Linked DNA regions of Drosophila melanogaster. The protein of the gene in region 1 interacts with the protein of each later gene in a pairwise test. Each region holds a gene or a part of one and is shown on either strand. Other genes may lie near its edges. The genes, in order: CG11635 and CG18262.

What was found.
Region 2: the proteins of CG11635 (region 1) and CG18262 interact in a two-hybrid assay, tested with the Drosophila melanogaster proteins (one large-scale study listed by BioGRID).

The regions. Positions count from the first base shown.
Region 1 is NT_033778.4:8,356,856-8,360,283, forward strand, and holds CG11635 (uncharacterized protein), read left to right. Parts: upstream 1-1,682; 5' UTR 1,683-1,751; coding exon 1,752-2,612; 3' UTR 2,613-2,617; downstream 2,618-3,428. Other genes in the region: spaw (spacewatch), read right to left, coding at 2,658-3,428.
Region 2 is NC_004354.4:8,151,395-8,155,315, forward strand, and holds CG18262 (uncharacterized protein), read left to right. Parts: upstream 1-1,553; 5' UTR 1,554-1,649; coding exon 1,650-3,059; 3' UTR 3,060-3,139; downstream 3,140-3,921. Other genes in the region: Gbeta5 (G protein beta subunit 5), read right to left, coding at 1-749.

The DNA.
Region 1 (3,428 bases):
TGCCATTTATTTGCCAGTGCCTGAAATATGAGCTATACCTTTCTATATGCCTTATTCTATATTTTTTTGGTTTCATTTTATCTGTGAAATGCAGAAGCATAAAAAATTATCTTAAATCTTAATAATATAATTAGTTGCAGCTGCACACACAGCGACAACAATCTCCTGGCAAATATGATTTTCCCTACTCTCCCAGTGCGCACAATTTGATTATGCCATGTCCAGCAGCTATTTTAGATTTGATTTTTCTGCACGTTTCTCAGTTTTCGCAGCGTGATGTTTTTGTTCGCAACCAAACCCCTTTTCACTCGTTGAGTATTTTTCATATTTTAATTTAAATTAGAGGGCAACACCCACTAAGCCACTCACTGGATGACGATGACTACGAGGAAGATGATGATGGCGATGGCGATGGCGATGGCGATGGCGATGGTGATGATGACGGCAGCTGCAGACAGTGGAAAGCTGGTCGTAACTCAGTCAGACACTCGCTCCGAGCTTAACGCGCTGATGTATGCTAATGAGCCGGCATTGTCGCCGGATCCGTCTGCTTCCCTTGCTCCTTGCTCATCTCTGCCTCCTGATCCTGCTCCGGACCTAACTCGATTGCCGGGGGAGGAGCTGCAGCCGGAGAGCTACCATAAATATGCATAATGCAATTAACAGCCAAATGTAATTGCAAGCCAGAACAAGGAGTAAAAAATAGAAAGAGGAAAATAAAGACAGACTGGCATTAGCAGCTGACAAACCACCCGCATGGCAGTCACTGTCCCGTCACATCACTTCACATCACATCTCTCTTGGTGAAGCATGACAGTCGCTCTGCTCCTTTGGCTTTGCATATGCCCGACTTTTCCGATTCTCTGATTTTCCGACTTTCCCGGCCTGGCCAACCTGTTCGCTCGCACACTTAATTAGGCTATTAAACAATTGCAGAACGCATGCTTGCTAGGCCTGTCTCCAACCAGTTTGCAACTCGCAGTTCCGCCTCGGTCCAATCCAAAATCCGATCCGATCCCAGCCGAATAGCATCGAATCTGCCGCGAATCTGTGCCAAATTTCGCATAGGCACTGCCTAGCCAACTTAAGGCCAAATCGAAAAACCGACAAAACTGAATAACCGTTGCGTGCCTAGGCCCAGTCAGCGTCTTTCGATTTGGCCGTGCCTGTGTCTTTACACTGGAAAAAATTGCAACCAATACGGACGAATAGTATACATTCAATACTCTTGTTACTGTTTGTTTATCATCGTGGATGGATTTATCTCGAGTTGATTATCTGAACTGAGTAGATATGCGAATTCTGGATATGTTTATTGTATTTCTTCCAGTGTGGCCTGCCTTTTCCTCCGTCTATCTGCGCGTATGGCCAACTCCGCTGGATTTACTTGACTTGGCCTGGCTGATTGGGCGCGCGTTGTTTTGCATTTCCAGGCCAGAAACAGCGGCTGCGTAATAAAATGCATTTTAATTTGGCTAAATGTTCAATTAAATTTAAACATGCGCAGTCCGCTGTTTGCAATTTTGTGTTGCCTGTCGCCGTTGCATTGAAGTTGAGTTGCAGGAGAAGTGAATGTGTGCGACAGGACCCTCTTCCGATTTTCTCCAATTTTCAACCAGCTCTTTTTCGTCCAGTAGGCCTCGATCGAAATTTCGGATACCAAGCAAAAAATTTTAATTTAGCGATTCATGTAACGGCGTTACGGTATACAAAAATTTTCAAAATTCCACTTTCATTAAAAGTTTCGGCTAATGTTTTGGTCCTCCCTACTAAGGGGCTTCAGCTCACGTCAGAGCGGCTCCTCGAATAAACCCCCAAAACCTCCAAGTCCACCGAAGCCACCATCGTCACCATCTCCACCAAAGTCTCCTTCTGCCAAACGAGAATGCAAGATCCGGACGCACTGCATTCCGGCCGCCTTCTGCGCCGAAGGGGATAAGTTCAAGTCGATGTGGGATCCGCCGAAGAACCTGCCTCCGCCGTACCCCTTCGTGGTCAGCCGATCAAATGACTTGTGCTGCGAACCCAACTGCACCAAACCACTGCCCTCATTCGACGAGCTGTATTACCGTCCCTCCTGCAAGAACGGTCCTTACCAGCGCCACTGGGTGGAGTGCCCCAAGTTCATGATCCGCAAGAAGATAATCTGCGCCTACGACAAGCTGGAGGCTCTGAGCCCCGCCCGTCGGGTGGCCGAGCGGCGCGAGCGGACAACGCTCAGTGCCACAGCCACAGGACCATGTCCCCATTTCGCTCCGTTGGCACGATGCGTGCCAGGACGTCGTCCGCCCAGATGCCACGCGGCCAAGACGCCCTCCTGCTGCCGCAGGTTGTGTGCACCGATGCCCTGCTGGTCGGATTGTAAGCAGCCTAAGCTGGCCAAGCGACCATATCGACCTCGCGAGTGCGAGTGCCGATTCCCCCTGAGCCTCTGCGAAGCGGAGCGGGGTCGTCAGTGGGTCAAAATTCATGGTGAGAACCACGTCTGTCCCAGTGCCATAAAAAAGGCCAAGAAGGCGAGAAAAGACATGCTCAAGAAGATGAAAAAGGATAAGAAGGATAAGGGCACGGATAAGAAGAAAGATAAGAACAAGGATAAAAATAAAAAATAAGTTTTAAAGGTTATGTTTATTTCTTTGGTCATTGGTGCTCTTGTATTACTCGGTTTCAGCCTCCAGAATTGTTGCTTTGTACTTGCTTTGGCCAGACTCCAGATCGATTAAAGCCTGCTTCAGAGCCATGCGCATAAGTAAGCGGGACTCGGACTCGGTCAGCTGAGCAGAAACTTTGTACCGTTCTCTATCTAAATGGATACCTGTGCCGAATTGGGGTTCCTGGTTCAACGGCTGCTCTTCAATTGACTCGGTGCTAAGGCTACTAGTAGGCTTCTTGGCAGGAACTTCGATAGTCCTAAAGGGCCTGTAGGTGTGTATGGTTTCCTTAGGCTGAGTGTCCTGCGTGTCATCAGTCTTGGGAGTATTCTCATTGGTTTTTGAAGGACTGGACTCTTGAGTATCGCCAGCAGACGCAATTTGCTCGATTTTGTGAGATTGTTTTATTAGCTCCTCCCCGAAGTCCTCATCGGAAATCGAAGACTCTGAAACTACCGAACTAGATTGATTAGTTATTTCACCGGTTAACTCAGAATCCAAAGACTGATTTGCTTCCATCTCGTGATCCAATTTAAGTTGATCGGTGATATCCCTCGTTAGTTCGGAATCAAAAGACTGGTTCGAAATCTCGCTATGATCTAGGCTCTCTACATCACCCAATCCAGATGGTTCTGAGAGCGCACTGGCTACCTCCGAATGCATAGAATCTGCAACACCTAGCTCAGATTGATGGGAACTAGCTCTATCCACTGACTGATTTGATTCCTCCTCATGATTCAAACTTTCACTGATTTTGGGTTGGTTGAGTGCAAAGGA
Region 2 (3,921 bases), on another chromosome or scaffold:
ACGCTATTCACATCCGATTGATGACCCTCGAAGGACTGAACGACATGACCAGAGCGCATGTCCCAGATGAAGGCCATGCGATCGCAACTGCCCGAGACAAAGGTGTTGCCCGTTTCGTTGGGAGCCAAATCGATGGCCATTACATCGCCGGAATGTCCGTGGAAGCTTTGCAGTAGCTGGCCCGATTCCACGTCCCACAAAGCGCATGTGGAATCGCCACTGCCCGTGAGGATTTGCTGATCGGAATTCGGATAGATGCAGCACGACATGTAGCTGGTGTGGGTGCCCACTGTGCGCTTCTTGGCGGCCATCTCCTCATCGGAGGTTATCGGATACACGGTGACCTTATTGTCTAGTCCGCCGCAGGCCACAAAATTGCCCGACGGCGCGTAGGCACAGGCCATAATCCAGGTGGTGGGCATGGTGACGGCGTGCTCCTTGTTCGTGGTGAACGCATCCCAGATGATCAGACGTCCGTCCTGCGACGAGGAGATGATGTGACGCTTGTCGGGACTCCAGTCGGTGCACAGGACCTTCGCCTGGTGGCCCTTGAGCACCTTACGCGGCTTGATGTTCACATAGGCGATCTGCTCCAGCCGCTCTGCGATGTTCGACAGATTGACGTCGTTCAGCTTCTGGCGCTCCTCCTCCAGTTTGGTCTTCAAATTCTCCGCCTCTCGCACCAAACTGGCCATCTTTTCAGTGGCATTCGCGTTCGCATTGCTCGCTGGCACCGCCGCCTCCGACATGGTTGCTCTGAGATGGCGCTTCTATGGATATCTCTCGGGGATTGTGTGTCCTATCCCGTTCGAACTTCTCCAATTGGACAGCGAAAAATCAATCCGAAAAAAAGTGTATACTCGAATACGAAAATCCGAATACACAGCGATAGGCGCGGTCGGTTATCGATAAGTTTTACCGTTGGTAAATGGCAGAATGTACCGTTACATATCCTTTATTTTCGGAGAACTTGATAAAAGATTGTGACGATGTTATTATTATTAATTTTCATCAATATGACAAGGTATTGATGAAAATTGGCGTCAAAATTTGTTAAATTTTTGTTCTGTTTTTGTTAAAAGCCGGTTTTCCGAATTTCCCTCATAAAATAATCAGTTTTTTGCCCAGAACTTTGAAAATAATTGACCAAATATGGTATGTCATATCTCGTTGAACTCGTAATGAAATTTCCAATCGAATTGCATTCAAATTTGCGAATTCAAAATTTTTCCATTTTTTTGCAAATTTTAATTTAATGTTACCCCTTAAAAAACATGAAAAATATGACACAAAAATAAATTTTTCTATGCCCGCCCAAAAGTGATAGGGTTCGTTAGTAGTGATAATTGGCTGTTCAAAACAGTTATTCTTTAAGCTGCATGATGATTTTCCGCCAAGTTATGACTAGAAACTACTTGTGATAACGAACTTATCGGAGTAAATACCATTTCAAATGTGGCGCCACAACCAAGGTAAGCTCAACACTGCGGTTCGTTAGCCAACACTACCATCAGCTGGGGAAAACCACCCTTCCCCACCCCCTTGAAACAAACACTTACAAAAAAGCGACGCCAACGGCTGGAATCCTCTGCTAATCCGGAGCCAGTTGACCGCCACTTCCACACAGGCAGACCAGGGAGCAAGCCGCGATGATCAAGGTGCAGCCACCGCCGGATGTGGCCGGTGGCTACCACAATCTGCGTTGCGGCGAGGTCTTATTCAGTGCACCCGCCTCCTACGAAGTGAGCTGCTTGCTGTGCGACCAGCGTTTGCCGTTGGACGGCTACCCGGAACACTTCCGGCTGAAACACTTCACGAACAGCTCCAGCTCGCTGTGTTCCAACGAACTGGAAAGCGATCCCATTGCCCAGGACGTCGTCGAAGTACAGGGAAATGAGGAGCTACATGAGGAACTGGCAAAGGAAGCTAGCCCGGACTTAGAGGAGGAGGAGGAGGAGAAGGAGGAAGGTTCCAAACGCCAGCATTACCAGCGTGCAGCGGCCATGAAGAACACCCTGGTGGAGACTCGCGAGGATTTGCTGGACATCGAACTCGACTGGACGGGCGGCGAGCAGTCGGAGCATAATGAAACTCACGAGGAGGAGGAGGGGGAATCGGATGATGATGACACGAAGGACAGCAACGACACGAAGGACATGCTCTTCCAATGCGATCAGTGCGACCGGGCGTACAACACCAAACGCAGCCTGCAGAGCCATCGCCGCCTAAAGCACAGCGAAGCCAACGGCGGAAGTCTGGACAAATCCGCCAGTGAACGCAATAGCAAGAAGCGGAAAGGTCCGCCGAAGGTGTACAAATGCAACGAGGAAGCCTGCAACCAGACATTTCGCACCGAACGCGATCTGCGCGGCCATCGCTGGAAGCACACGGGAATCTTCTGCGACATTTGCGGCAAACCCTTCACCCAGTCGGGCAACATGATGCGCCACCGCCAGCGACACAGTGGCATCAAGCCGCACAAGTGTCCGGAATGCGACGCGACCTTTTACACGCAAAAGGAGCTCTCCTCGCACAGTATCTGCCATACTGGTCGCATGCCCTGCATCTGCGAGGTGTGCGGACGACCTTGCCGAGATCGAGGCGTTCTCACGGCGCATATGCGTCGCCATACGGGCGAAAGGCCGGCCAAATGCGAGGTGTGCGGCAAGGCATTCTATAGCTTTCATGACCTCAATGTCCATGCTGTATCGCATACCAATTTGCGGCCCTTCGTCTGCGACGTTTGCGGCTCCACGTTTCAACGGAAGAAGGCGCTGCGGGTGCACAAGCTGCTCCACTCTGAGCAGCGCAAGTACGCGTGCAAATTGTGCGGCAAGACGTTCGCCCAGTCCGGCGGTCTAAATGCCCACATGCGCAGCCATGATCCGGCGAGAGTTAAGGGAGCTGTGAAGCCGCTGCCGCAATCGGTCACCATCGAGGTGATCGAGGGCAAGAGTCCGCCCACCACCACCATCACCATGGCCATCGACCTCAATGTGGAGGAGCAGCTGGTAAAGCAAACCGAGACTGCACCCACCACTTGGCGCCTGGCCAACTGAGTAGCTAGCTAGGATTAATATAAGGTTAGATGTAGTTCATCTATAAGTTCCAAATTGCGCCATAATAAATGAGAGAAATCAGAAGATTGGAAATGAATTAATAATCGTAAGAAACCAGAAGGCAGATGCATAAAACGATTGATTTGCGGTACAAAAGTGTCCTTTATTGGGGTTTCCTAAACGGAGAGGGTTCCAAGCTGTCAGCGATCCAAGTCCAGATGAGTCTGGGCTCTAATCCTTGCCAGCGTGTGCATTCTACCCGGGATTCTTAGCTCTAAACATGTAGTTCGTATCGCTATGGACTAAGTTAAGTATTGGGATAAAATAATACATACAGCCTTTGTTGTTTTTTTTTTTTTTTTTCCAAACGAAATTGATGATCATAAACGGAGGCTTTTGCGTTAAAGGTTAAAAAAATATATTCCCGCCCCTTCGTTGTTTTCAAAAAAGGTACATATTTTATATTCTATGCGCTGGTCGGTTCACTCATTACTAGTTTTTCGAAGCGATAAACTGAAGAATTAAAACCTAGCATAATTCTAGATGCAATATTAAGTAAACTAGTTTAAAATAGGGCTGACATTTCTGCCAAATGGACGTACTCAGTTACAAATATAGTTAAAATCAATCAAATTGACGAGAATGTTTTGAAAACTAAAGATTAATTAAGCACTGAAAATGCATTGATAAGGTATCACGGGTAAACCCAAGACCAACTAAGTTTTCCAATTATAGACCTATGTATTTACGTGATCTGCATTGACTTTTGTTCACTAGAACCAATAGTAAGTAATAGTATAGCACTAGAAATACAAATAGAGAATAAGAGATAGTTCTAGGATACTAGGCTAATATCGATTAG